Linked DNA regions of Caenorhabditis elegans. The protein of the gene in region 3 interacts with the protein of the main gene of each other region in a pairwise test. Each region holds a gene or a part of one and is shown on either strand. Other genes may lie near its edges. The genes, in order: irx-1, ceh-23, tbx-39 and fozi-1.

Region 1 (9,403 bases), on a different chromosome or scaffold from region 3:
GCAACTCATACTTGGCCAATTCTTAAATTCGTTTTGAACACAGTCAAAGGCCCAATTTGTAGTCAAATTTGCTCGTAACACTGAATCATTAAAATTTTTAATTTTTTTTGTTTGAATATATCAGTTATTCCTATCCCAAACATTACCTGTCTGTCAATAGTCTTTGGCATTCCACCTCCTCGTTTTCTGAACTTTCCATGCTCATCAACATCATCATATCCTTCGATGTATGTATCTGAAAAAATTGGAAAGTTTGTCAGTACGAAATAAGCAACTAAAACTTTCTTGAATATTAAAAAATATTTAGGTAGTTGCGGAATTGAACATCAAATTAACTTATTCTTCTTGTCAGAAACATCCACATATATCATAATTGAAGACTCCAAAACATTTTTCAAGATTTCAAAATTTTAGCCCAAGTTTTGGTAAATTTAAAAAAAAAAAAAAAAAAAAAAAAAAAAACATTTTACAAATTGTGACTTTTTGAGGTATTTTGAGCACTTTTGAAGACTGTTGACAATGTGTGAATAATAATACTTGAAAGGTAATTGAAATATGAACTAGAAATAAAACAATTTTTTTTATATTTGCTATTTACAAATTTCGGGAGTTATATAAATAAATAAAATCCCATTATAATGCATTGATTACCATTATTCCATGGAGGACGGTTATCCATAGTTGACTGGCTTTGACCATTTTGATGAGGTTTTCGGCTTCGAGACCTTTTTCGATCTTTCTCAATACCATCCCGGTGAACATCCTGAAAATTTAAAATTAGTAAAAATTAAATTAAGCGGGTAACTTACATATCGGTCAACGTTTGACATTTTTGAGATGTTTTTGAACAAATAATGAAAAAGAAAGAATGGTGAAAGGATTTCTTGAAAAATATTTTATGTGCTCAAATGCGCAGGATGTATCCATAGAGACAATTCACTTGCTCATGCTTTTCCAAATTGTATAGTCATGAATAATGGAAAAAAGAAAGAAACTTTGAAATGTTGAAGGATAAAAGCAAATACAGCATAGAAAAATACCACATTTTCAGGTATTTCAGGTATTGATTTCTACAAGTTTAATTGATAATAGCAAGTGTTTAAAACAGTTAACTAAAGATTTGAAAACATTTTGAGAAGATTTTTTAATTTTCAAAGATGCAAAATGAGATTCCGGTATTGTGCCTAAATATTTTTTCTTTTTTTTTTGTATTTTGGAATAATGCGATTATTTCAAACGATTTAAAGCACATTCTGCCTTTATTGCATTATGTTATCTGAAATTAGAATCCACGATTAAAAATTATATTTTTTGAAACAGTTCTAAAATGTGGAACATTAAATATAAAGGTGGCAAATTTGGTTTTGTCTCATTTCCAAATTTTCCAAGAATCCAGACAACACAAATTCATTGTTTTCTAAGCTTCACCGATGTTTGTTTAGACGTCGTTGTCGTATCTCATTTTCAATTAGGCGTTTACATGGGTCACCGAGATGTGGAAAAATAAAGAGAAAATGCATGTAATTCCTTGTTTTTAGAGATATGGTGTGTGTGTGTGTGTCTAATGAATGAAATCTGCTGTTTTTGTTTTCACTGATTCATTTTTCACATTAATTTGAAACTACGCTTTGTAAATAGTAGGTCAAAACATTTAACAAGACAATACATAATCTGGAATTTTTTTATCAAGTGGAAATTTATTTATTTTATCAGATTTTTTAAGAATCATGATATTTCTTTTTAAAAAAAGCTTCCAAAATGTACATATGTCTACATTTACACATCCCCTAAATTTCAAGAGGTCGGCAAAAAACAGTAATGGGAAAATAAACTAAAAAGACTTCAATTGAATTTTTAAGTGGAAATTTAAAAAAAAAACGCTAAAACGTCTAAATATCATTGTGAACCTTTTCAGAAATTTTTATTTACAGCCAAAATGTGGTGATAACTTAGTTTTACCAATCATAATTTGACAGTCGACCAAAAAAAATATATCATCAACCAGTTTTATACGTTTTTAATTTTGTTTCTATAACCATTTGTGTTTTAAAAATTCTATGTTTTTGAACATGAAGCAATGCTCAAAATTACTTTAAAAGTGCACGTTCTTGATAACCGAAATGTTGTCACTAATTCAGCCTGCAATTCTTTGAAATGGTTGCAGTATTTTGTGCAATTAAATGTATATCCATTTTCATGATTTTTTGTTAGCTTAAAATATATTCAAGAAATAAATATTAAACCTTCTTCATTTTCTAAATTATGCGTGCAGGTTGTTGTATCTTTCTCACAAAAAACTGTAAATTGTCAAAGAAATGAGATGGGATTGTAAGAAAAGTGGGTTTGCGTGAAGAGATTTGAAGCGAATTGGTGGGAAAAAGCAAGAAAAAAAGAAAATTGTTTCTAAAGTACTCCAATTATTGGCGGGAAATTGAGAAAACCGATCATAAGCTCAAAAACTAGATGCATCCTGTGAAAAATTGTGTGGAATTGAAATAATAATAATGTTAATAATGTGAGAAAAAACTGGGAGAAATTGGGGGAAAAAATAGAGAAAGAGAGACAAAAAATTCATAGTCATGGAATTCATATAAAGTTTAAAAGAACATAAAAAAGCAAATGAATGAGAAAGAAAAAGCCTATATGGTGCTACAGTAACCGAATGAAATTTTTGATGGGATGTGAATATTTGGGAGACAATACTGTACTGTACATAGAGAGAGACCAAAATAATCGAAACTTAAATGGGATGGAGAAAAAAATGAAATTCAAAGACCCGCTGTTTATATCATATTTTCTCGATTTCAGAGTTCTTAGTGGAGGAGGTGAAACTTTGAGAGAGTACAATATTCATTTAAAAAAATTAAACTTAATAAGCTGGGGTTTCTACTCTTGGTGGGACCGTGGAGACGACGTTGGAGAAGATGCTGGAGATGGCGTCGACGTCTCCGCTTGAGAGTTCAGACCTGAAATTATTTATTCATTAAAATCAAGGCTTAAAAATTGTTCAAAGATTTTTTAAATATTGTATATTGCAATAAACCTAGGCACCAAGTCAATTAAGCTATATTTCAAAAGTTTTTGAAATTTTTAGTTTTTGAAAGTTTTAAGATTGAGTTGTGTGAAAAATGATCTGATTTTTTGAAAATTATTAAAATCTCCAAAAAGCTTTCAGAATGTTTTTTGCATCTAAACAACCTTAAAATCACTAAAATAATGTAAAATCCGGATTTAGAGCAGCTTGACATGCTTGTATTTGAAGGAATGCTCTGAGAAATTTCAGTTCAACGTTTCAAATAAGACTAGGCTTTCTAGTTTTTCCCCATATTGGTCAACTAGAATTGCTTTTACATGTTCAATAAGTTATAAGAAAGTGTTTCCCATCAACTATACGAACGGATCAAATCGGCAATTTATCATTCGGTGACTTGACTCCGGGAGCAGCGCTCCTTTTTTGGACAAAAACTGAGTGACGAAGAACACGCGGTTTAGAAAAACGAGCACACTAATCCGTGGGGTCAATGAGGAGACACTTACTTCAGTTTAAGCCCTTTTTCGTTGCCTTTGACGTTTCGAACAAAATTATTACATAGAAAAGAACTCCTCTTTCTGAGCTAAAACATTTGAAAAGGATCTAGAACTTAAGTGTAGACCCTCTTTTGTTAATGCCTATCTAGAAGCTGTAGCTACTGAACTTTCCCCTTATAATGTGTATCAGAAAACATACACCTATTATCAGTAAATATGGGATGATTAGTGCATTAAATAGCAAAAAAACTGAGCGTCACGACAGGATAACAACTTTAAAATTAAGAGGATTACGTTTCGACTTTTCTTGTTCATGTACAAGCACGCACGGTGTTCAACTAGCTGTCAATCATTCGGAATACCCAAAAAAAGAATGATAAGAAAAAGCAGACAGGTTGCCATGTAACAAAATGTAAGAAAAGTGTATTCACCTGCTCACCTCACCTGCTTCATTTGGAGGAGTTGTTTGTGGTGCCAAAAGTGCAAGTTGTTGCCCTTGAGCAGCTTGTTGGGCTAGAAGTTGGAACATGAATGGGTGCATTGTGTGACGGAACAAAGTTGGATCCAATCGTGCCATTACTTCCATTTGTTTTTTCATTGCGTTTTGGAACAAGCTTCCCGTTAATAGATTTTCGTCTGATGATGGTGGAGAATCCTAAATAAAAAGATGTTTGCTAGGGGTTACCATTATTCATCATCTTGAACTAAATTACTTCACTTTAACAACTTTATGAAAAATATAAGCTGCCAAAAGGCACTGCTGTATGCTTCAATGTATCTTCCAAGTACAGTAACCCATGCCTAAACTTTACAATATGACCCCCTGATCTCCCATCAATTCCTTAATGTACTTTATGAAAATGTATAAAACCATCATTCAATCATGTTTGTTGTTAAAGCGGCACAGTTTTGTCGGCTGCTTCACACTCACCTCACAAGTTTGCACATACACACATACAAATGATTCATACTAGTTTACATCTCTATAAAATGTGCAGAACAAGATGAAGGGAGAGGAGGACTCTTTATTTGCCCCTACTAAACATATAATAGTTTTTAAGTCCATTTCGTAAAACTGTTAGAATAAGAGGGAAGATGGGGAAAACTATAAAATCTGTACAATGTATTTTATGATCTAAACTTTTTTGCTCTCACCTTCTTTGATGAATCGTCATCTGAAGTGACATCGGCAATCGACCACATTTTTGGTTTACGCTTCGGACTTTCAGAATCATCATTTGGAATTGGGGATACTAGTTCTTTCTTCGGTGTTGTCAACTCATCTGATCCTCCAGATCCTCCCGAAGGCGTTGGTGATGCTAGATGTGGCTTTCCGAATAGGGATTCTCCTTTTCTTTCGGAATTTATGGATGTTGAGCTTGATGGACGGTTCATGTCATCATCATCGTCGTCTTCATCGTCATCACAACCATCGCCTCGTCGATTTTGTGGTGACCAAGTCATCTTGTTCTCCTTCTTCAGTCGTCTTCTGGCGTTAGCAAACCATGTCGAGACCTGTAATTAAAAATATAAATTTCAAGCTTCGGCTTTGTTTTTCGGGCTAGAGTTTATTTTAATAAAATAACTTCAAAGTTTTGGTTCAAACAATTTTAAAATCTAATTTTTGGCGCCAAGGTTGTGTGTTGTTGGTCTATTGCAACAAAATCAAACAAGTAGTAGCCCTATTTGGTTTGAAACATTTCTCGTATTGTGTAAAGAATGTCTCTCGAAACACATTAATTAAGCGGGGTACGAGGTGTCATCATCATCGCTTATCGCCTCTGTACATCTTTTGTTTCTCGCCCCTCTTTTTTTGGCATCGGTCAAAAAAGGAGACATTTGCCCCCGGGGTTTGATGGCCGGTGAGTGGCTAATGTTACAATAACACTGCGGGAAACACTGTCTACTACATTTTACAACAATATTTTTTGTGGTATTTGTAATTGATGACTAGAGGCGGCTCTAAAATCCCGTGTGAGCTAATAAATTGAGCAAATATTGTGGAGTAAATTACGAGATTACGGTTGGTAATAGGCTATTACGGCTATTAAATCATTTCACAGTGTTGCATTTACTAATTGTTGTCAAAACAAGAAATAATACAACATACCTGTGTAAGTGTCATTCCTGTACCAACTGCCAACATAACTTTATCAGCTTTTGATGGATATGGATTCTTTCTATGAGAATGAAGCCAATCTTTGAGTGGTGCAGTTGCTTCTCGTGTTGCATTTCTTTTCTTGATTCCATCTAAACCATATGGATGATATAAACGATGAGCATCACTGAAGAACATGGGCATCGGTCCTGGCCCTCCACCTAATAACATTTCTGGTTTCAGATCTGCTGGAATTCCATGTGGAAACATCGGAACTCCGGGGAAGCCAGCAAGAGTTGCTTGTTGAGCGGCGGCGGCGGCTTGAGCTTGAGCAGCGAGAACTTGAGCCATGGCAGGATGGAAATGAAATTGACCTAAAAGGTTTGGTGGCAGAATTCCGCGAAGTGCATCCGGAGCTGAAGTGGGTGGAGCAGGAGTCGTTGTTTGTGGTGTTGTGGGCTCTTCCATTTTGACCTGGAAATGGATTTACTTTTCTAGTCAGGTGAAGTGAAGGTATCCAAACGAATAAATCTGACATTTGGCATCTAAATTTTTTGGAAGGAAGTATTTTGAGACTGTGTTCAAATGTTGTCTAATCTAAGATTTATGTAAAAATTGGTAGGAATCGAAAACGAAAACCTTGTCCAAGCTTTGACAACTTCTCAACTGCAATTTTCTATATTAGACTTGCACCCCCCTCTTCCTTCACTTTGACAGTTTATATCTCAGTTCTTTGTGGTTTTATTAAAAAACTTCAAACGGACAATTTACTTGCAAAATAATTTTCTATGTTTTGGTTGTATAACACTTTTTGATAAAGCTGAAGGCAACCGAGATATAAACCGCCAAGCAGTGGCGGTGCAAGGTTAACATGGCAATTGGAAAGAGCAGGAAGTTGACTCCAAGTGTCAAGAAGGACAAAAATGAAATAAATAAATGTAAGAACACTACTTGAGAATATAGAAATTATAATTTAGCTTATTAAACTTATCGCTTAAAAACTGACCTGATTGGCAATAGGAATCATTGTGATGGTGTAGTAGAAGTAGATGTGTTGATCTCAGTACAAGTGCAGAAACAATAGTTGATAAGTATGATTATTTATGATCTGAAGAACACATTGATATCAGTTATAATTCCAGAGCAGTTTTTTGTTGAAAAAGATAGACAGAGAGAGTGAGAGAGAGGCAGAGAGGCGACGAAATCAAGAGGGAGCAAAGGAGGAGCGATTCAGTGATAAGCATAGAAGAGAAAGAGAAAAGGTTTGATTGATAATTCTTGAAGAAATTGAGATGATGTAGAACTATGTGGGACCTTATGTTCAACAACTTGTTGAGCAATCTCGATTTTCTGCAGATGCCCGCCCGGGGCCGTGTGTGTCTCTCTCTCTCTCTCAAGTCCCGCCCACCATCCAATAGACATGGAAGCCACAGGGCGGGGCCTGGAGAGTAGGGAAAGAAATTGAAGAAGCGCAAAAAACACGTGCGAACACGTAGATTTAACAAGATAAACCGGAGAAATTCACGAAGAGAAACGGAAAAGAATCGGAGTAAAGAGAAGTAGAAGAAGATGATGATGAAGGATACAAGAATCGAACGGAAAGAAAACAAATTGATGATATGGCAACTAAAAGAGATTGAAAGATAAACAATTAACCGTTCCAGCTAATGATTGTAAGAATGATGATGGTTTTGATATCTTACTATTTCATTGTTTAGTGTTATTATTTCCAAGTTTGATTCTAGAATTGTTATTTTTGTGCAAAAAAAATCTTTCGAACCTAATACCTCTCTACCTCTACCAATTATCAAGTTTGGGAATGAAAATTAAGAAATACAAGAACCAAAAATCTCAATAAATGTATTCACAAGGACGAAGAGCAAACAAGTTGTAAATTTGCTGGCTGGCTCACGAATGGAAACTGAAAATTGAAGCAAATAACGGGAAGAGGAAGCTTTGGAAGGATCATTGCATAGAGTTTAATCCGAAATATTGGCAGGATGAAGAGAAAAAAAGTATAAACATTTGAAAGTTAAAAAGTAAAACGACGGAAAATCTAGAGAGTACTATCAAATGACCCGAACACACAATGGCGCCACGAACAAAAAAAGGACAAAGGAGAAGAAGCTGAAATCAGTGAACTTAAGTCAAGAATGATACATCGTAGAAGCAATTAGGTAATGGTCAGAACGGTTTGTAGGGGGACAAGAATTGAGAGAATAGAAGTTTAAAATGGCATGTCTCTTGTTGTCCGAAGCGGGGTGTAAAGAAGTGTAGCTGCTGGATAGGGGGCGCCGGCGAGAGTAAGTGGCCAACGATGGCGCTGATGACGATGATGAAGAAAAAGAAAATGGAGAAGAAAAAGGTAAAAAAAGAGGACACGGTGTAATACATTTACTATTGTGTCAGTTATTGTGTTAACATCTCTCTTTGGGTCATTCGATCATTTAGTTATTACAACATGTAACAACAACACATATATAGTAACATAAAGTTGCAACAAAAAAAGTTCAATGGCGGAAGTTTGTACTAATACAGGAAGATGTAGGTACATATGAGCCAAACAAGACAAAAAGGTGTATGGTAGGGAGATTGATGTCAAACGATGATGAGAAAGCGATGGAGGAGGAGTCATTGGGCGGAGTCAATCGCCGGGGGAGGAACACGGGAGGTAGGAGGGTGTAGACATGAGGTCGCGGCACAATTTATGAGGAGCTGGAGCCAGAAGATGATGAAGCTGTGGAATTGAAGTAGAAGAAGCAACTAGTTAATGGGTTTTGGTGCTTTCCAGAGAGCGGTGTTGTTTTTTGTGAAAACACTGCTCACTTTTTTGTTAAATACATGGAATACGGTAGTGGTTGCAGAAAGGAAATACTTGGAGGTAATTAACGGAAAAGTTAAGCGTTCCGTTTAATCGAAAAAAGCGGGAGAAGAGTTGAATTCGACGGTGAAGAAGAAGTTGAATGTACCCAAGAGATTGAAGAACATTTGTTGATTTTTAAGAACTTCCAAAATAGTGGTTTTCCTAACTCATAAATGGGGTATTTTTCAACGAAGAAACTTGAAATGATCCAAACACGCAAGGCTTTTCCCTTTTAAAAGTTTAAAAGCTTCAAGCTAAAAACATTTGGTATAATTTTTAGGGATTTTCTTTGCCGCCGTTGTTTTTTATAGCTTTGTCACTAAAAAAATTTAAAGACCGTTAATCCAGAAAAATCAAGAGCAAAACCTGCTATCATAAACTTTTCATCGCGTTTTTTTATGAAAATGAAAAGTTTCTATATTGAATTTACTACTTGAATACCGAGCATTCGGATTATTACTTTGTTTTAACCAAGAGCAGATATAGAAAAATTGTCTGCCAGTATACAACTCTATTAAAGTTGCAATAATCTCTATGATACCCATAATATAAGTACGAGAGTGTTTTTGAATACATTGCCATATCTATAATTACAGTTCTTATTCTAACAGCTGGTAGAGACACCTTCTTGCCATTGTACCAAAACACATCGATCAACTCATACATCATGACACGTGTCTACAAAAAGGGGCATGAACTGGAAGAACTTTAGCAGGTGGGATATTTCAGATGGTACAACAATATATCTTAATCTGATCTTGCTATATAATATGGAAATTTATGTCATGTTATATACGTGGAACAGTAACCCAACTGTTAACATCGTCAATACCTGTAGTAGGAATTGATGAGATAAGACTGATACGCGGGACGATATATATTCATAAAAGTTGGTATTTACGAGAGGGAGAACA
Region 2 (7,123 bases), on a different chromosome or scaffold from region 3:
GTTCAGAATCCTATCTTTCATTAAATTGAACCTCGCCAAAATTCGAAAATCTTCATTTCTAGGTGTGTGGCCGCCCACACGGCAAACTATACGTATTTCAACTCTCGCAAATTTCAAAAGTTGCCCTGTACTTCATTATCATTTGACGTCATTTTCCTCATATTTTTTGGAAAAGATATGACGTGGCGTGGGAGTCTCAAACTTTTTCCATAGAAATCTCACAAACTTGGCATATAATTAGCGCAATTTTTTCAGGATACTGGACTCTTACTATTAGTATTTTGACTGTTCCCATTCATTCTAGTCCGAATTTATTAAGAGTGGATTTACATACATAGAACTTTGCCTACGTGCCTGGGAGTTTCTATTAAATAATTTTAAAGAAGTTCGCCGCATTCTAGAGCAGCCTGACAGTTCTCAAATAAAGCTTTGAAAATATTTTTCCGACGAACAGTTTCCGAACTTTTCAATTTTCCAAAGATACATTTTTCTAAAAAACACCCGAATTATTTGTTCATTAAAACTAATTATTTCGTCACTCGTAATATGAATAAATGGAGTAAAATTAGAGAAAAAAACAGGTGAATGTTCGTAGTTTTTCCTTTAGTAAGCCATGATCTCATAGGTCTCAATCGTAATATTGGATTGAATCAGAAAATTATTCAGTTACTAGTGTGAGAGTGTGTTTTTATTTGGGTGTGTGTATTTAGACATAAAAGTAGTGGCGGCAGGTGGAAAATTGGGATTTGAGAGCAAAAATCTAGATGAAGAAAAAATTATGTTTGCAAGCACACTTTGTTGGAAAAATTCGATTAGGTCTTGATCTACTAGAGCGGAGAAAAGATTTGATAATAAATTAGGCGTTTAAAAACTTTTTGCGTAATATCTACGTAGGTTAAAAAGAATTTAATCAAAAAATGAAATGCCACCAAAGATTGAGAAGAGTTTAGAATTTTATAAAAAATGGCTTTCACACAAGTTTCGTAGAAAAAATTGAAAAAAAAACTGTGGTATTCGGAAAAAAGAACCCAAAATCAACATGAAAATACTCAAAAAATGTCCCCACCGAAAAATTCTATAGTTTATAATATACATTTTAAAATCAAAAATAAATATTAAAGTATTCTTTTTAAAAAAACTTGCATTGCCGGCAATTGCCTAATATAAGGTAATTGTTGAAAAACCCAAAAAAATCTGAAAAACTGACGGAAATTTGTTATTCAATCGCGAATTGTTCGAGGTTCTTAAAACAATATTTTCGAATCAATCAGATATTTTTACATTTACAGAAAATTATCATACCAAAGTGGGCACTTTTGTGGATTTGCCACACCCCTGGTTTTGAATTCAAATATAAAAAACCAATATTTGATGGTTTTACAACTTTGAAACTTAAATCTGAATTTTAAGGATTCATGCATATGTACAGTACATAGCTCATTGCACATTTACACGTCATCATTTCGAATAATTTTTAATCCTTTCAGATCATCCAATTCTTTATCCACTTGTGACTTTTTTTCCCAATCACGTCAAAAAAGTTTTAAGACGCTCCAACTAATTATCGAATCCACTCGGCTCAATCCGGATAATCCTCTCACTCCCCCCGCCCAAAGCGATTATTCGATGAACAAATGATCTTTATCACTATAATCATCGTCAAAGCTATCATCATCAGAAGGTGATAAACTACATAGCTCCGCCTTTTCCGTTTTTAAGCATCTACGCTTTTTTTGCTAGAAAAGGCTAAGAGGGCGGGCTCTCCTTAAAAATTGAGGATATATAAAAGATTGTTTTCTAAAGCTGTGATGTGATCAAATAGTTATGATTGGGTGCATTTTTTGTGTCATAATCTTTGAAAATATTTGTATTTTTTATTTGTTTAGATATTTTCCAATTTCTAGCTCCGACCTTCTGATTTAAATGAAACATGTGACCTGCGAAGAATTTGAATCAGAAGTTTCATAATTCCGGCTTCGGGTCAGAAAACCCACAAATCATATTCTTAGTTTTTTTTGAAGGAAAGTGGTAGGTATTTAATGTTTCTGTATTGATTCTCAGAAAGTTAGTTACATCAGGTTTAGGTACCTACATAATTGTTCAAAATATGATAGTGGCAAGTTTTTAACATGTGTTTCAGTGGAGAAAAGTATGAATTCTTAGAAATTGCATTAAAAATAACAAACCTTGAGATACCATAGTTATGTTAACCTTCAAAACAAGTACCGTATTTCCACTAGTAGTAATGCACTTTACTCTTAAACTTTGGCAGCGTTTGTCGTAGTTTTTGTTCGTTCTATCGAAAAATTGTCAACTGATAAATAATTTGTTTGATTTTTTTTTCTATAGATTCGCAGTTATCTTACAAACGAACAGTGGTACAATCTTTTAAATTTAAGCAGTTTCAAGTGTTTTAATTTTTTGTGGTATTAGACGTTATTAAGAGCAATTTATGTTCATGGCTATTCCCATAAAACCTCAAAATTAGTTTCATTTTTGATCTTCTTTTTTCCAAACATTGAGACTTCCTTGAAAATGACAAATAATTGGCTTCCATTTGCATGTAAAATATGTATAACGTTCGATCATATTTAAACTTTAAAGCACATTAGCCTGTGAGCTTTGATATCTGACTAACAGAAATATGTTAGACACAAAATTCGATTGCTCTCAATTTTATATTTGAAACTTTCGAAATTTTCACCAATTAAAAATTTTACACTTAAAACTCAAATTGTTGAAAATAATCTAATAGGTTGTAGTAAATTGGAGCAGCTGCAGAAATCGAGAAGGAAAATTAAGTTTCAGATTTTTATTTTAAATTCTCACTTTTTCATTTCTGATATGCAAAAATGTGATTAAATAAAATCCTCCAGACATTCATTATCTACGTCTTCCCATCTGATTCCATTCATCTTTCATAATCCGATTAGCAATTTCAACATTTCCTGGAAACACTGATCTTTAAAAATTAATCCTTTTCATTTTTGTTTCGTCTGACTCATTTAATAATATCTACACTGATATACCTGCACAACACACTGACTACTATTATTACTTTTACTACTACTATGACTACTATAATCTACTAATGAGTGGTAAATTTTGAGCTTTGATCATTCGTTCACATCCCTTGGTAATTGGAGAGAAGCAGTGTATTTTCATATTCCCAGACTCACACGTTTTTGAATTTGTCTGCAATAGTGAAAACTTTAGTTTCTATAATTTACCATTCAGGGGTATCAGCATTTTATTGCACCCAGTAATTTTAGATAATTTATGGTTTGAATCTGTTTTTGTCCAACTTGATCTGATAAACTTAGAACAGTAAGTTCTACAATTGCCAAACTTTTAATTTTTTACCTCTTTACATTTTTCAACATTTTTACATTTTTTGATTAATCTTTATTTTCTAGATGGACACCCATCTTCCATTCCAAACTTTGCCAGTTTCAACGCCGCTGCCTGTGTCTTCATCATCTCTAACAGGTAACATCAAATCCATTTTGAAATGTGCTCTTACACAAAGCTCCTTAATATCCAAATCGCATTCCCCCACACCATTTAATGATTTCATGACTGAAAACCATCTGTCAAACACGACAATCATCCGATTTTCATTGCTGATAAGCTGATTTCGGGAATGATGATGATAAGATTTGTTAGACTTATTCAAAAATCGAGAAAGATGAGAAGCTGTATGGCTGACATATCATTTTATGAATTCAGACGTTCTTCAAACAATTGCTGCTTTACAAGCCTGTCCCACATCCTGTATACCTTCAACATCAACTGGAATGCTTTCACCGAATCTTCCCTTCTCGGCTACAATTCCACGTGTCAACTTGTTCCCACCATCACAACCAGCCAATTCTTTAATACTGCCAACAATTCCAGCACAGGTGAATGATTTTCGTATTTTCAAAAAACCTCTTAACCCCTTTTGTATTTTCAGCCTTTTATTCCAAATCCATCTCTCCTGCAAGCCAATCCATCTGCTGTCGAAGCTCTTGCAAATGCACTTTTTGCAACAACAAGCCGTCGGGCTTCTTGCCCAGAACCTCCTGCATCCTCTCAAGCAACCGTCACGCTTCAAGTCCCATCTACGGGTTCTCCAGAACGACGACGTTATTCAGAAACAAATATGGAGGTTCTGCTACGTGAACAACTTGCACAATTGATGCCTCCAACCTCTCAACTACCCGGAATGCCTGGATGTTATTATCAACATGTTCCAGCTGCTGGAACTTCAGGAATTCAAGGATCATTAGATGCGGCGTTAATGGGAGCTGTTCCCTTGGCTATGAATAGTATGGCACATAGTCGGAGAGCAGCAAATCATAGAAAAGCAAGGTAAGGAGAATAAACCAGCAAAATGACACATCTTTGTAGCATACTCTATCAACTTTTTATCAATCTTTAGCACAAAATCTGCAGCTTTTCAGAAAAGAGCTTTTTGACAAATTTTCATTTACATTTCTTTGAAGCTGTGGCGTTTTTTTTCGAGAAGAAGAGCACAATATACTTGTATACTGGCTTCTCGCCTCAAAAATTGAACAAACCAGTTTCAGAAAACTTTCATAAAAAAAGTCAGAAAAATTGTCAACGAATCATAGAACCATCAGGTGACTCATTTAAGATTTTATAAGCTTTATCAAATCCTTTGACGAAATAAACATTTACTTCATTTCCGAAAGGAAGTTTTTTGGCCTCTGACTTGAAGTTTTTAAAAATATAATTTATTTATCTTTAGAAATTCTTAATCAATCTAAAATATAACTTTGACGCAAAACGAAGTTCGTGGGATAATTCATACGTGCCGAATTGAAAAGAAATTGTTGGTTCCCACAGTAAGAAGCTGAAGAAGATTGTTTTAAGATTCTAAACTAAAGATCAAACAAATTCAAAGTTTTCAGAACAATCTACGGTACAACACAAACTCAACAACTGGAAGATATGTTTAAAGGACAAATGTACGTAGTCGGAGCAGAACGAGAAAATCTTGCTCAACGCCTTGGCCTATCACCTTCTCAAGTTAGAATTTGGTTTCAAAACCGGAGAAGCAAACATCGTAGGAAACAACAAGAGGAGCAACAGAGCACGACGTTAGAAGAAAAATCTGAAGAAATTGGAAAAGATGAAGAGGAAGATGATGAAGAAGATGAAGATGATGTAAAAGTTCTGAATTAATTTAATTTTTTTTTTCGTGTTTACTTGTTTATTTCCTGCCATATTCTGTTTTAGAAAATAATTAGAAAAAATGTGTATATTCTTGATTATAAAGCATTAAACAAATAAAGTTTTATGTGAACTTACTTGATAGGTTACGTTATCAGGAAATGGTTCGGTGCTTCAAAGAAAATGTGAAATCTTACAAGAAAGCTTAGCGAATGGCTTCAATTTTTTCTAACTCAATAAATAATCAATATTTTACAAAAAAAGTATTGCGAACAAGAGGTAAAATATTTCTGATCACTTTGTTAGTTGAACATTTGGTTTTTAGACGTGTATTTTTCCAGATACGCCAGTTTGAAGATACGCAATTTAGCGAGTCCTTGAAGTTTTGTGGATATATTTAATTTTGCATACGACCAACTTTTGAAAAAAAAACAGTAAATTCCACTGAACAAACCGTAATTTTCCACATTGAACAACTTATAAATAAAGTCTGTGTGATAAGTTGCCAAAAATTGTGTGTTTAATCGAAATTTCTGATAAAATTCAAGTTATGCCACCAACCAAAAATTGGTTTGAGAAACATCTTGTCTTTGGAATTCTACATTTCAACAAATTTTAAAAATTATACAGATTCTCTTAGACAAGTGTTTTAGAAAAAAATAGCTTTCAATTGCCTCTTGGACGGTTCAAAGTGACAATTTGAGTGTAAAATTTTCAAGTTTTAGCTCCATGTTCCGCCATGATTTTGCCATTTCATGATGGTTTAAAAACCAAAAAAAAACCAACTGAACATTTATTGACTGATTTTGAGTAATATTTTAGAAGAGAATGAAAAAGAAATTAAAAATATGAGAAAGAAAATTTGCTGTGAGGATTTTTGAAAATAAAAAAAGAAACAAAACGGGGAGACTGAAAGATGTCTGGGTCTTCTGAAACATAAGAAAGTATGAGCCGAGAAGAGATGACAAAAATTGGAAACAAACCTCAAGCCATGTATATATTTTAATGAAAGACAGGGACAGGGAAAAATGGGATTAAGTTTAATTGAATGAAGAAAAAACAAACAAAAAAAATAAAAAAGAAAGAGAAGATCTCGTAGATTTCTGGCCTAAAACAGGAAAAGTGGATAAAAAAGGAAGTGGCCAACACTATATCACTATTGAAACAACGGAATGGGAAACCAGCTACTTTTACAGGACGCGGTGGTGGAAGAGTTTAAGCACGGGGATACTAGTTACAGAATTGGAATATGTTGAGTTGATTTGAATATTTTTTAAACATTGATCTAGGTTTAATTTTAAAAAAACATTATAATCAACTATGTTATCCAATTATTCGAAGAACACAGAACAAAGGACTTTGATTTTTGGAACGAGGATAAGTTGAGAAGACGTGGAATGCCTCGAATGGTCATGAAGAAGGATTGCTGCAGTAGATATTACTTGCACGGATTGTTTTGCAGGAATTTCTTCCATCTGCAACAAAACTATTCTACATATGTACATAAAAAGCCAAGCATTTTGATTAATGTAAAATTAATGTAGATTTCGGGCACCTACCTGATTTCATGACGAAGCTCCATTCTTTCGATATCAATGCACGCCAATTGAACATAGGTCTCGTTTTTCTTCACTTCAGATCCTAATCGAATCATTTGGCACTAAAATTATATTAAGTTTCTTCTAGGCGTATACAGTTGGAATCAAATACTGCTTCATTTTGGATACTAATGAACAAATATTTCAGCTACCGAATGTTCCATCCGGTTCCACCCGGCAGCTTTCTTATATCATTTAGTATTTTGGAATTTTACGATTTTTTCGTTTATAAGTCAGTACCCAATGTTTAACTCACATCAATATCAACTCGCTTATCGTGTACATCGTGAAGCTCATTGAGCCAAATCCTGGTCTGTGTTTCCACGTTTTCAATTTCCTTTGACAAC
Region 3 (6,603 bases):
TTGGCGGGAAATTCAAATTTTCAGTGAAAAAAATTTTTGGCGGGAAATTCAAATTTTCAGTGAAAAAAATTTTGGCGGGAAATTCAAATTTTCAGTGAAAAAAATTTTAGCGGGAAATTCAAATTTTCAGTAAAAAAAATTTTGGCGGGAAATTCAAACTTTCAGTGAAAAAAATTTTAGCGGGAAATTCAAATTTTCAGTAAAAAATATTTTAGCGGGAAATTCAAATTTTCAGTAAAAAAAATTTTGGCGGGAAATTCAAACTTTCAGTGAAAAAAATTTTAGCGGGAAATTCAAATTTTCAGTAAAAAAAATTTTGGCGGGAAATTCAAATTTTCAGTGAAAAAAATTTTGGCGGGAAATTCAAATTTTTAGCGAAAAAAAATTTTGGCGGGAAATTCAAATTTTCAGTGAAAAAAATTTTGGCGGGAAATTCAAATTTTCAGTGAAAAAATTTGGGCGGGAAATTCAAATTTTCAGTGGAAAAAAATTTTGGCGGGAAATTCAAATTTTCAGTGAAAAAATTTGGGCGGGAAATTCAAATTTTCAGTGAAAAAATTTGGGCGGGAAATTCAAATTTTCAGTGAAAAAAAAATTTGGCGGGAAATTCAAACTTTCAGTGAAAAAAATTTTGGCGGGAAATTCAAATTTTCAGTGAAAAAATTTTGGCGGGAAATTCAAATTTTCAGTCCAAACCTATATCTCTTCAAAAGACAAAAACACAATTTTTCCTAAACTACAGTAATCCTACCGTACTCCTACAGTACTCCTACAGTACTACTACAGTACCCCGCCCATATCCCCTACTAACCCCAAACTGATATCCCTCCAACAGCCGAAAACGCCTTGCCTTTGTAAGCTATGACGTCACTTCTTAACAAACGGACACTATTTTTTTATATATAGGTAATGATAATAATAGTTAATGACATAAAAAAGATACTGTACTGTTAATATTAAAAATAGTATGTTTCAGCTTTGTGACAAAAGGCCAACGTTTTTATTATAACCATTAAGCACGGCCTCTGTGAAATTAAATAATAATTTTGAAATTTTAATTGAAAAATTGTCCGCTTCAGAAGGAAAAGGAAAAAAGTTGTTTATGAACAAAAATTCGCGTTAATTTTTTTTAAATTTTCACGTAAACCCGTGATGCTCTGGAACTTCCAATCACGTGGCTTCTGACCACGACACTTTACTCAATCAATTCACTTCAGTTTTCATAAAACAACACTCTCCTTGTCCGCCAAAATGGGCCTCTTTGCCAGTGCTCCAGTGGATGATGGTTCCATGGAAATCGTGCGAGATTTCATTCAAAATATGGAGAATGATGCTCAATCATCGAATAAAAGTGCATTTGCTGACTGTTTTATGGATACTTTCAATTTTAATGTTCGTGGGAGGATTTTTACCAAAGGTGAGTTTTATATGACTATATTCTACGTCGGAAAGGGAATGGTTATTCCATAAAGTGAGGTCATATAAGCAGTTTGTGAAACATTAGGAGCAATTTTTTTGTTGAAAATTCCAGGTTACCAAGTAGTTTTTCATAGTGAATTTTAGAATGTTCAACTACTAAATACTCTAATGATTGTTTAATTTTTTCAGCTCTATTCGTGGAAAGCTACCTTACCAAGCCGAATCCCGAGCCATTGATCCTCAAATCATCGATTTTTACTCAAGGAAAAAATGAAATCAAGTTCAATGTTTCACATGTAGTTGGGCCAAGAACCAATATTGCTGATTTCTATCTATTGCGTGAAGGAGAAGAAGGAAAATGGAGACTTAAATCTGGAATTGTTATCAATTAATATTCCATTGTGATGAATGAAGTAGTACTTGATTAGAATAAAGAAGTTGCTCGAAAAGAATTTTTGTAAAGTTCTGATAATTTTTACTGTTTCTAAACGTTGGTAAATCTAAACGCATAACTTGTTGTTGATATTAATATGAATTTTAAAAATGATTTTTTGATTCCAGTTCCAATCAGAAAATATTGTTGGGAGAAAAACATAATAATTGCAAAACATGGTGACAAAGTTATCAGGACATTGAAACATAATTTTAATTTCAGCATTAGTTAATTTTTCGGAAAAAAATACAATTATATGCACATGGAATTAAATAGAATGGCTACTCAAAAAAATTCTGTCTTTAACTTTATCAAAATTGTTTATCTACATATTGCGTGTTTCACTATAGTAATTTAAAACACTCCGTAAATACTTTTGTATTACAATTTTAATTTTAATGTCAACATGCATAATATGCTCAATGATCCGTTCAACCTGTATTCCTTGATTGTTTTTGGATATTTTTGAATTTGTCAGCTCAATAGTTTAGTTATGTACATATATATCTCAGTAAATTGTAAACCGAAGCTATATTCTTACCGATAGAAAAATATTCAAGAAAAAAGTAACTTCTGTTGGGATTTTAATTAATTAATTCATATTTTCGAGAATAAATGTGGCATATTTCACTAACATCAATAAGGCCACCAAACAAATTGTCTTACTCTCATTAATGCAGCAAATGTATCACAATGTTGAAACAGCAATTTTTATTTTTTTTTTAATTACAGCTTATTAATTCTCTCTTTAAGAATGTGATGTCTAATACATATTTACTAATACTGACATAGTGTTTTGCAGAGCGGAGTAGAATTTTCATCCAAAATAGAAACTTTTCAAATAAATCCTTTTCTGTCTGAAATTTTGTTATTAAAATAACGTTTGCAATGAAATGTAAACCTATCATTTTCTATATTTTCAATTTTGTAAAAGTATACACTTTCTCACTTTTCTGCTTATTATCTATCAAAAGACTAAATATATTTTCCCAGTACATAAAGTTTACAACCATTTGGATTGTCAGGTGTGTGTCCGGAAATCGATCGAAAAGGAATGATATGTCAAGGAGAAGGAAGTAGAGTTGTAAAGTGGTGGATGTTAAGGTGGGGGATACCTTGCACCTATTGTCATTATGTGAATGACAATTGGGAAGAATATAGGTCACCAGTGGAACTGTAACGTAATGTTTTGGAATAGACAACTTTGACATGAAATATTAATATGTGAAAAGGTAATCTGGAATAGAGAAGCACGCAGAAAATTGACACTACAAAATAAAAGTCTAAATGTGGATATCCTTAAATAATTTGCTTTGGATCGGGTTTTAGTATTTTTATTTTAAATTAGTAACTCGGGCGTTTTTATCAAATGCGGCAGCACTCAAAAAGTTACTGTTTCAATATAGTGATTAAAAGGACATCACTATATAAAGTACGATTTCCAGTTTCAAACAGTTTTTGTTGAGCAATTCTAAGAGAGCAAGTGAATACAATCAATCGATAATTGGTTGACTCAACCCAGTGCTCAGGCTCCGCCCACTAAGTGGGGTCTAAAACATTAAAGGGATAGAGAGGATCATTCATTATAATATTTTGTTTAGTATACCGTTTTTTTTCTTTCATACTTCCTATTAATATATGTTGATTTTTTTTCAATATTCAGATTCAATAATGTTTTCACAAGCTCAATTCAATGTTACAATGGCTGAAGAAGACCGATGGAAACAATGGTATCCAAATATGGAAATGATTGTGAATAATAAAGGGCCGAAACTAATTTTTCCCGAACTCAACTTCAATATTACTGGATTGGAAGAGAAATCGAGATATGTTGTACTTCTTTCAATTGAAAAATATGACAATATCAGGTATTTTTTAATGATTTTCAAAGTCACCATTAAAGACAAATCTTAATTTCAGATATGGATACCGAAATGGAAAATGGGGACCTTCAAAAGTCCGTCATGCAACGAAAAAAGAACAAGAAATCAAATATTTCTTACATCCAGATGGAACAAAACTTGGAAAGGAATTGATGAAGGAAACTATTAAATTTGATACAGTCAGGATTACGAATCACAAAAAATTCATGGACAAGGATAATGTGGTTAGTTTGAATTTTTAATTCACTAAATAATATTATAATTAATTTTTATTTCAGTTTTTCGTGGAAACAATGCACAAGTATGTTCCAGTCCTCACTGTCAAAAATATCACGAATGTTGAATCTGCAAATCATTCTATGAGAATGGAAGTAGCCCAATTTTTCCCAGTCACAGTATACAATCAAGAATCGATCGGAAATTGGAAATCTAAATTTCACAAGAACTCAACATATGGAAATAGATTGGATGGGGGAAACAAGAGAAAGAATACTGATTCGAGTGAAGAGCGAACATCAAAACGATCAAAAAATGAAACAGAAATTGCTGTTTCGGATATCCTTCAAGTTGCCTCACAATCAGAAAATTATAATGAGTCCACGAATTCTGGAAGGCTTCAAAATGAGATCAGTTCCTCTATTCACCAGTTCCCATCAACTTCCTATCAAAATCAATATCCACATGCGTATCCAACAGTCAATACTCCACCAATTTATGTTCAGCAATTCACAGCTCTATTTGATGAAATCCACAATCAATTCGATCCGAAAACTAAACAAAATAGGGTTGCAAAAAATGTTCAGTATCTTTCAAGTGTACCACAATTTGCGATCAATCAAAAGGAAAATATTCATCAGAATGCTCCAGATTACCCAGTCTCTCAATTTCCAAATCAATATCCATATGGTTCCTATCCCTATTATTATCCATATTTTCAATCCAGCCAACAGTTTCCACATCTCAACTATTCCATGAATAACTCTATTTATTCTGATTCCTCTTTCCAGTCATCATTTTCTGCTGAAAATTCATATTTCGATGAAAATGGAAATCCTATCCACTATCCATATTATTCTAGCAATTAATTGTCACTTCTTCATTACTAACCCTTGTTTCCTATTTTTTTCAAATTTTCCTGTGATTGTTTTGACTTCTCTGTCCATATTGACTTTAGCTCATTTTGTTTAATTCTGTAAATTATTTCTCACCTAATTTTCTGTTTCTAGTCGCAATAATTTGTAAATCAATTTTCTTTTAATAAACTTTTAACACTAATCTTGCTTTACCGTTATGATAAAAGGGCTCAGAAATTCATACATTATTCATTTTCAAAATTAAACATTGCACTATTAATCCACTATTGAATAAAAATAATTGCCAAAATTACAATTTAATATTATAACGTGATGGCAAAGTTTTCTAAATGCGCGTCCAATTTGTTTCATTTCTGCAAACACCGCGACGACAAATTGCATACCGGGTGTCAGGGCGGGCGTGAGGGGGGCGCGGGAAAGAGGCGGGCGAAGGGCGCCCCCGACACACCTCGCCCGGATGGAAAGCCTATTATGGAGCTGCTTAGCAAAAAAGTTTGCTTTTTTTTTTATTTTAATGTTTCAATTTTGATGAATCAAGTGTGGAATAGAAACATAAGCACATCATTTTTGCGTGTCAAATTATTCCGAATTTCGGATATTAAAATTTGAAATTTTTCAAATTTTTCGATTATATTGTGGGCCGCAGATACGTAACTTTACAAAAAAAAACAGGAAATATACCAACTATGTAAAGCAGACGACTTTTCCTGTCGTTGATTTATTTATTTTTTGGTACTTGAACATTAAATTCCCTCACTTTCAAAGTTTATTTTTTGAACAATGAAAAATATAAACTTTTTTTGCTGCTAAATTATTTTTTTTGTGGAGAATATTATTTTTTGAAATTGAAACTATTCTGGTTATTTAAAAAATTGTATTAAAAAAAAACTGTATCAAGTTGTAAATAATTGGATTGCATAAAAACTTACTGTTGATAATAAAAATAATAAAAAATAATAATAAAAATTCAAAGTTTCCTGTGAGTTTCTTGCCTTCTTTCATTTTGTTTTATTTTGTAATTTTTTTCTGACTTATTTTACTGTTTCATTCTCAGTTCTTTATGAGTCAATTTTCCAGTGAGTAAATATCAAATTGTACTCAAACTATATGAAAATATATCAACAACTTGAAGCAGACAAATGTTCCGCCAGAGAGTCAACCAACTTTTAGAATTAGAAAACCTCAATCTTCCTTTCGTAGAATTATTTATTTTTTTGAAACCATGAAAAAATAATTGAGGAAACAATTTCTGCTCGAGAATGTTTGTATATTTCTACAAATAATTTCAAAAAGTACGTTTTGTTGTGGGGAACATAATTTTGAAATTGAAAATACTCGATATTCTGAAAATGAACGTAAATTTGGAGAACACTACTGTTTCGAGTTTTAAGTAATTGGTCAAAATGAAAACTTACTGTCGATTATTTTGTCGAATTTTTTTCCTGGTAAAAACAGAGTGCGTAAATATTAATTTTAGCATTTTTAGCAATTTTTGCAAAATAAAAGTGTTCAACTTTATTAATAGAAATGGAAATCAGATACGTAAAAATTGAAAATAAAGAAAATAGATCAGAAATTGAGAACCACATAAAACAGTATAAGTAAAAATTGAAAAAAAAAGTCTAATGTATTCACAGGAAAGTGTTAGTTGGTTTTTAGAGGGGAAATATGGAAAAAAAAACCGTGAAACTCACTGGAAAACATGATAAGGAGGTACTCATACAGAAATGAAGATACAAATTATTTGTAAGGATAATAGGGATAATGAATTGGG
Region 4 (7,486 bases), on a different chromosome or scaffold from region 3:
AAAGACGTTCTAAATAAAAATCGTATAATAAGATTAGAAATCTTGTCCAGCTTTTAGTGTTGGAAAATTTATTAACGTTTAGAACGAACGATAATCAGAAAACCTTGCAGCCAGACAATTTTTGGTTCAAGTAGTTCGAGAAAAAAAAGTGCGTTTTCAATAAAACCACTTAAGATTTGACTTCATCGTGCATCACTGAAAACTGTTAAAGTTTGAGTGATTTATTAAAATGCAGTTTTGATGGTCCAGCATGGACCTAGTAAAATAATAAAAACTCTGAAAAGGTTTAGGTTGTTTCAAAAATTCCAGTCAACGTTTCGGTGAATCGCCAAATTTTCCAAAAGTAAGTGGTGTTTTTGATTCTCGGTTTTTAACTTTTTAATAAACGTTAAAAAAAATCAAATACATATATTTAAAGGGCATTTCCCCCATATAAATTTCTAGTATCTTCAATCCCTTATCTTATCATTAACCCCTGCTATCCCAGTAACTCCCCTCTAGTTTCATCTTCCGCCAGCACGCGCGCAGCTTCATCTCAAAAAGAAACAAAAAGAAAGTAAAATGGTAATAAGTGTTCGTGTCTCTCTCTCATCGTCATCAACTGGTATGCAAAAGCTTTCGCTGATGAAAACCGTCTTCGTTGCATCTCGGTGGTGGTGTCCACACTGAAAATACACTTAATGCGTCTTCTCCCTCCTTGTCATGTTGTTTTCGCTCTTCATCCCCGCTCCTGTTGTGAAGAGACACGGATGAATATGTTGCCTTTCTGTCTAAGAGACGCGGATAAGTGAAGCCAAAAACGAAGAAACTATGCCATTACTATGTATTACTGTATAAAGGGCTGGTTCTTTTTGCTTATTTTCAGAAAAAGAAGCAACATGATGTTGCCATCGTATGTTCGCTTTTAAGTGGCGGAAAAAGGAGAAATTGGTTTGCGAATGCGTAGATAACACATTCAAAACACAGATAGTTCATGAAGCATTTCAAAATGTTCGGGTCTGACATTGAACAATTATAGGTTTCACTTATTCACTAAGGAATTTCACGCATAAGTTCAAATGGAAAGGAAATGAGTATTGATACTTTTTTTATGAAGTACGGAATTTCCTAGGTTGATGTAATCGGAAATAACTTTTTGCTTCGGGGTTAGTTTTAAAGAATCATATGTTTGATCTACTACAGTGCCAGCTATTTTTTTCCAAAATTTTGCTTTTTGTGATTTCACAATTTTTCGAATAGTCCTAACTCTAAACATCTTACAGCTTAATCTACGTCTTTGCAATGATTTGGAAACATTTTTTGGAGGGAACAACATCGCAGTTTTGTAATTTTCTGAAACATTATTTAAAGTTCAGATGGGTCCCGCCACGAGAAAGACATTTATGACAAAAACTTTTGATTGTTGGTGGCCACTTTTTGGTGCCCAAAAGACTGTAGACTATACATTTTTTCGCCGAAAGACCCAGACTAGTAAATTTAATTTTAAAAAATCTTCAGAAAAATTCAAAATTTCCTGAGAAAAAAATCCGGAATTAAATTTTCCCTAAACCTAAGTCCACTCAGTGTTCCACTTTTTTTTTTCAAATTTCGAATTATACAGTAATCCAAGTGCATCATGCGGGCACTCGTTAGTTCCTCCCAAAAAGTTTGTTTAATCGTTCCGCTAAAGTTTTTTCCAAAACACTCGGCACATGGTCATCGCCCAGCGCCGACAATTTATGCCGTTTCGTGTTCGCCGCCTGTATGAGAACACAGTTGTCAAATGCTCATTTTAGAGTACGGTAGCTTTCCAGATTCCATACGTATCTATTTCTCATTACCATCTGATTTTAATCCGTCTTTTCGTGTAATTCACACGGATAACAAACAAACTTATACAAACAAAAAATAAGCTCAATGGGTGGGATAGAAGAAGGGGGAGAGAAGTGGTCTGCGTCTCGTGAAAGTGAACAATGATTGCGTGAAGTTCAAACCAGATGTGGATATGTGTCTAGGATTTTGGAGATTTTCAGAACTAGAATTTAGGTTTTAGGCTGACTTTTTCGAGATTACAATGAATGGTTTATTTTCTTGAGATTTTTGTGGGTAGCACTACCTTGGAATACCGTATTATCCCTGCCAGACTTGAAACATTTTCAGTGTCTTTCAACATACCAGAAAAAAGCTAAAGCTTGCGCTATGAGTTTTCTTGATTTAAAACTTTAAAAATAAGAACTTTCACCTTTTGAAATTATTTACATTTCTTCGAAAGAATCGGACTTCTACAGACTACAGTTTTCAAATTTATTTTCCGAAAATTTTCCCACTGTTTTCTTAGTTTCTCTAGAATCTTTACCTGCTCAAAGTTCACACCTATTCATTTTTGTTTTCCCGTTTGTTGTTTTTTTTTTCATTCACCTTTTCTTTTTCCCCCATTCATCGAGCTTTTTTTGGTGTCTGTCATCGAGTCCATGGGCTTAGCGAGGCTTGAAGATGAGCGCGCGCAACTTTTCGCGTTGATTGTCGCATTATTCCCCCGCGATCCCATTTTGCTCTTCTCATCGCAACAGCAGCAGGCTCACACGTCGTTATAGTCTCCTGTTTGTTTCGCAAAAAAGGACTTGGCGTCCCCGAGAAGAAAACGATACGCAAACACATATATAGATTGCAAGCAAGAGTGAGAGGTGTGTGCAAGCTTAACTCGGAACACAACGGGAGCCACCTCTCGACCTTGTATGGGAGAAGAGTCAATGCGCCTGGAGGTTGAGAAAAGAAAACAATGATCTTGATCCAAAATGATCTCGATTTCTTTTTTGAGCATTTCCAAACATCCAGAGAGCTCATACCGTAACTTCCTACTATTTTTAACATCAAAGCTCTATATGCTATAAGATTATGAAAAATGTGATTGAAAAATGGAGATTTTGAGAACATCCAGGGATCATCCAATGGTGGTTTACAACTTTTGATAGCTTATTTTATCCATTATAATATCCAGATTTTTCACAATTTGTCACTTGTTATAGTAGCTTTGTGACAGATTTTTATTTTATTTTTGCTTGAAATGCTCTCCACAGGGTGGTTTTTTTCGCTGTTCTCTGTATTTGAACAATTTTTTAAGATTTTTTCAGTTTTATTTCAGCTAGAAAAGTTTAGAGTAAATAGGCTACGGTATAAAAAATAGGTTACGGTAGAAAAACAAAATCTTCGTAAATTGTTTAGATTTTTTGAAATTTTCAGTTGACGATTAGGTAAAATGGTAAAAAAGAAATGTTCAAATGAAAATATTTTTAAAAAAATTTGAATTTCAAAAATTTGTTGCAGAAGTTTAGAGCGTTCATGTAGGCGCCAAAACGTCATTTCTTAATTTAAAAAAAAGTTCAGAAAAATGCGCGAAGATGGTGTGAGGAAGCCAGTTTTCAGGCAGGCGCCATGTTTTGAAACCGAGCCTGCCTTGTATAGAAGCAATGCAGAAATGAACATTTTCATGTTCAACATCTGAAATTATGAGTGATTGCAAAAAAAACCATTTTAAAACATTTTTTGAAAAGTTTACTTGGCTCTAAATTTAAAACTTTTGTTTTTCAGAAACCTAAATCTTCAATGTTAGAAGCTACCGTAACCCTTCTCCCCCGTTTTCAAAAAATCTCATCTCTCCTTAATTTGTATTTTCAGAGCATCCTACAACCTCTTCTCCAACGTGCTCCAGCCAACTGACCACTTCACTCTCTGAAACCGTTCGCAATCAGCGGAAGACGCTGGTGGGGATTCGTCTCCGGCCGCCTGCGCCTGTACACACAATGACATAGACACAAAGAAAAGGTGAGGAGTGTGATCGTATTGAGAAATGTGCGAAAACGGGAGTAGGAGCTCCTGTGCTCAACCTTCTTATTCTCTTTATTTGACATATCGAGAGCATAGAGATGGACACCCCCTTAGAGCCACATTTGGACTTAGGCCAACGCCTGTGGTAGATTTGAAATTTCTAGTTTCTTGTTATGTTGTTTTCTTGTTTTGCTTTTCACCTTCTGAAGCTTCAGAAGCTTCTTTTGCCATCATCAACCCAATTACTATAAAGTAACAGAAACTTTCGCTGATGCTTCTCTTTCCTTCGTTTTTCTGGTACAAGTATCCGCCATCGAATGAAAAAATCTTGTTTTTAGCCCTCCCTAGTGTTCGTTGATGTTTCTTTTGTACATATATCCGTCGCTCTCTCCACCTCCATCTACTTCGATGGCAGTTGTTTTGGTGCAGGCACCAGGGGCGCAAAGGTGAAAGTGACGAAAGAGGCGTGGCAACCAGGAAAGAGTGGACCCTTAGTTTCCCAACGATTCGCCGCTTTCCCTCCATTTTCTCTAAACTTTCTCAGCTTTTCGGCTTTATCGACAGCTTCGTTCACCGTTCTCGATCATTTTTCTCACCTGAATTTTCAAAACTTTTGTCTTTTTTCCATGGAATACTTTTACATTTTCTATATGTAGTTTCATTTGTTCCAAAAAAATAAGTATTTTCTGGATAATAGGTTTCTGTATCTAAGTTTACGGTAGGTGCAAGTAACTTTGCGTAAAAATTGAAAATTAAAATGATTACTCAACTTTTTGAATACCATATTTCTCTAAAAAAGACTTGTCTTAGACCTTGCTCAACTTTGACAGTTTTGGCTCCAAATGGTTTCATCAAACAACTGTCAATTGACAAAATACGTGCAAAATATTTTTTCTATATTTTGATAGTGGAACATTTTTTGATAAAAACCTAAGAAAATCGAGATATAAGCCACTCAAATTATAACATTTTTTAGAAGCTAGAAAACGTAATTTTCAGTTTTACCTTGTCCCCCTGAAAGTTCATGAATTTCAATTTAATTATTTTTTTCCAAAAACCGCATCGTGCCAAAGATTTTCATTTTAAGCTTTATCCTAGATCCACCCGACCAGATTACCATAAGTTGAACTTGTTTTGTTTGTTGAGTTTTTATTCCAGCAAAATCGCACCGTATCTCATCTCTGATTTGTTATTCCCATTGTTTTCTGGTGGAGGTTTCGTATTCGAAATTTTTTTTTTAATTTTTAACGGCAATTTTGAATGTATTTTTCAAATGTTAACGAAGAGTTTTTTCGATAGTGTTACTGGATCTTTGATAAGCATATGATCTTCTTAGCTTTATCGTCTGATTTAAGTCCAGTAAAAAAATAATCTAGAAAAAGTTGAGCAGGTTTTATGACTGTTTTTGTGAGGAATTGTAGATTTGATTGAACATTTTTATAATCTAAAATTATTTTTAACTCAAACTTCAAAAAGCACTTCAAAAATGCAACGAGTATGATGGATGGAAGTCAACCACAAAAAAACATATTTTTTAGATTTCTAAAACTGAAGGCTCTAATTTTTTAAACATTAAGTTTCTAGTAACAAAGTCAAAATTTACTCTGCTATTTCGTACTAGCTACTTCCTCATTTCGAATTTTCAACTTTGACCTCATGGACATATCCACGTGTCGACACAATTTCTAATCGGCTAAGCTCCTACTTAGTCAGTTTTCATCGCGACTAATATTTAACAACGATGGCCTTATCCTATTCAGTTAAGCCTTGGATTCAAAAATTTTGAAAATCTCATACGAAATTGAAAACCTATCAACGTATCAAGTTGGTGTCGGGTCTTCTATATTTTTTTTGGTTAAAAAGAAGATTGAAGCCCTTTAAATTTTATCCAGCTTCATCGAAGATTTCACAAATTTCAATGAAATTATTCTTCAAAAATCATCGAGTCTCCTCCCTTCTTCCCCCACTTTTTCGACATTAACTTCCCATTTTTTGAGAGGTCATCAAACTTTTAATGATCTCTCGAGTCGTCCATCAACTTTCACTCATTTCACAGTTGTTTTACGGCTCATAACTCCGCGAATCTCGCACCCATATAAACTCTCATTTTGCTTGATAATTTCACACTCAGTTGCAATGAGTACTGTAGTCTTTATGAAGTCTAAACTTAAAATTTTCACGCCAAAATAATGTGAGAATTTTAAATTTTCTAACCATGATTGAGAGAAATTTCCAAAAAGTTACTGTATTTCCTTACATTACTTCACTTTGAAAAGTTACATTTCGGTTTATTTTGAAGATTTCAAATTTTCGTACTATTCCTTTAAAAAAACATAAATAATAAAATTTATGAAGTATCTCATTGGTTTCACTGCTTCATATTTCTGGGAAATAAAATATTTCTATTGACCTAAACTATCTTAAAATTATCTATATTCCAATTTAATACTATGTACTTTCCATCTCACCCATCTACCGAGTTAACTGCAAAATTTTTCAAAAGTTATGAAACTAATTATTCCTCCGGCAAACAAATGTGCCTATCACACGCTCTATTCATACCATATTAACTTGCTAATCAACTACTTTTGTGTTGTTAATCACTGACACATATGTAAATTTCATCCTCCAATATCTCGCTCCTATTGTTCCTCCTGTTTTTGAATCATGGTGGTGCTGCCAACTCAGCTCCACTTAGGGGCGGCGCCTGATGTCCAATTGGGCTCTGCCGGCTTTTGCTACCAACTCATTACTTTTACACCTACGGTACCTATTTTTTGTGTTTTTCAGGATACCTCTCAACTATTCATCAGCTTCATCTAGTCATCTTCTTTTACCTGTAAGTAGTGAACAAAACAAAAACTCGAAGATCCAATGTTTTGCCTCCTTGTAATAACTAATTCAAAAGTTAAATTGGAGGCCCCTTCTCTTCGAATAACTTATTCTCAAGATGTGAACACTCGCCCATTTTCAAAAACATGATTAATATTTCTCGGTAATACGATACTTGTCTCTATATTTTTTTCTAAAATGCGCATCTTCCTTATACGTCTAAACAAGAAGAAAAAAACCGAAAAACAATTATTGTTTTTGAAAAATGAAATAGAATTTGAAGGAGGTAGCCGTCCAACTTCTGACTATTTGGAGCTAGGGGCGTCAGTTGGTGAGCTCACACCAGGCGCCGTGCCTTGGTAAAATTTGAAATGGTGTAAAATCACACACGTTGGCAACATCTCTATTGCGCATTCAGTGTAAATTTAGCAACTGTGCAGGGAGAGTTGTGTATAGGACTTTGGCAATATGTGTTTGGGTGAGCCTAAGCCTATCCCTAAGCTTAATCCTAAACCTGCACCTAAGCATAAGCTTAAGCTAAGCCTAACCCTAAGCCTAATCCTAAACCTAAGCCTAAGCCTTAGCTGAAAAAAGTCTTTCAACTTCTTTTAAAATCTCAAATCCCCATATTTCCTTTTTTTTTTGTTCAATCAATTGGCAACTTCTCTCAAGTTTAGTCAGAATCTGTGACGCGTCCGCCTTCTGAATACAAACTGGGGAGTAGAGCATGACTAGTATTGTAGTTACTCCATGAATCTTTCGTTTTTCTGACTGATTGTCAATCACGCCTAGTAATGTATCTTTGCTTCATGAAAAAGCTCACATTTTTGTTCATTTTGTCGTGATTGTT

Evidence for each region.
Region 1: the proteins of tbx-39 (region 3) and irx-1 interact in a two-hybrid assay, tested with the Caenorhabditis elegans proteins (one large-scale study listed by BioGRID).
Region 2: the proteins of tbx-39 (region 3) and ceh-23 interact in a two-hybrid assay, tested with the Caenorhabditis elegans proteins (one large-scale study listed by BioGRID).
Region 4: the proteins of tbx-39 (region 3) and fozi-1 interact in a two-hybrid assay, tested with the Caenorhabditis elegans proteins (one large-scale study listed by BioGRID).

What each region holds. Positions count from the first base shown.
Region 1 is NC_003279.8:9,534,233-9,543,635, forward strand, and holds irx-1 (Putative iroquois-class homeodomain protein irx-1), read right to left. Parts: upstream 6,735-9,403; 5' UTR 6,654-6,734; coding exon 6,633-6,653; intron 6,101-6,632; coding exon 5,639-6,100; intron 5,439-5,638; exon of another isoform or gene 5,299-5,438; intron 5,044-5,298; coding exon 4,684-5,043; intron 4,184-4,683; coding exon 3,973-4,183; intron 2,967-3,972; coding exon 2,887-2,966; 3' UTR 2,233-2,886; downstream 1-2,232. Other genes in the region: C41G7.7 (uncharacterized protein), read right to left, coding at 147-235, 652-763, 810-830; C41G7.15 (Saposin B-type domain-containing protein), read left to right, coding at 1-78.
Region 2 is NC_003281.10:7,836,178-7,843,300, forward strand, and holds ceh-23 (Homeobox protein ceh-23), read left to right. Parts: upstream 1-3,414; 5' UTR 3,415-3,416; coding exon 3,417-3,489; intron 3,490-3,729; coding exon 3,730-3,902; intron 3,903-3,955; coding exon 3,956-4,353; intron 4,354-4,916; coding exon 4,917-5,190; 3' UTR 5,191-5,314; downstream 5,315-7,123. Other genes in the region: ZK652.8 (uncharacterized protein), read right to left, coding at 6,617-6,653, 6,738-6,838, 7,033-7,123. UniProt on the Caenorhabditis elegans protein: Probable transcription factor. Required for differentiation of AIY interneurons, acting downstream of LIM/homeobox protein ttx-3. Modulates gene expression, acting downstream of AMP kinase aak-2/AMPK signaling. Modulates lifespan.
Region 3 is NC_003282.8:15,320,370-15,326,972, forward strand, and holds tbx-39 (Putative T-box protein 39), read left to right. Parts: upstream 1-3,523; coding exon 3,524-3,720; intron 3,721-3,772; coding exon 3,773-3,959; intron 3,960-4,013; coding exon 4,014-4,820; downstream 4,821-6,603. Other genes in the region: Y73F8A.15 (DUF38 domain-containing protein), read left to right, coding at 1,252-1,417, 1,609-1,811; tbx-40 (Putative T-box protein 40), read right to left, coding at 6,570-6,603.
Region 4 is NC_003281.10:9,278,133-9,285,618, forward strand, and holds the start of fozi-1 (Formin-homology and zinc finger domains protein 1), read left to right. Parts: upstream 1-3,648; 5' UTR 3,649-3,801; intron 3,802-7,486. UniProt on the Caenorhabditis elegans protein: Acts redundantly with hlh-1 to promote body wall muscle cell and coelomocyte specification in postembryonic mesoderm progenitors, probably through suppression of sem-2.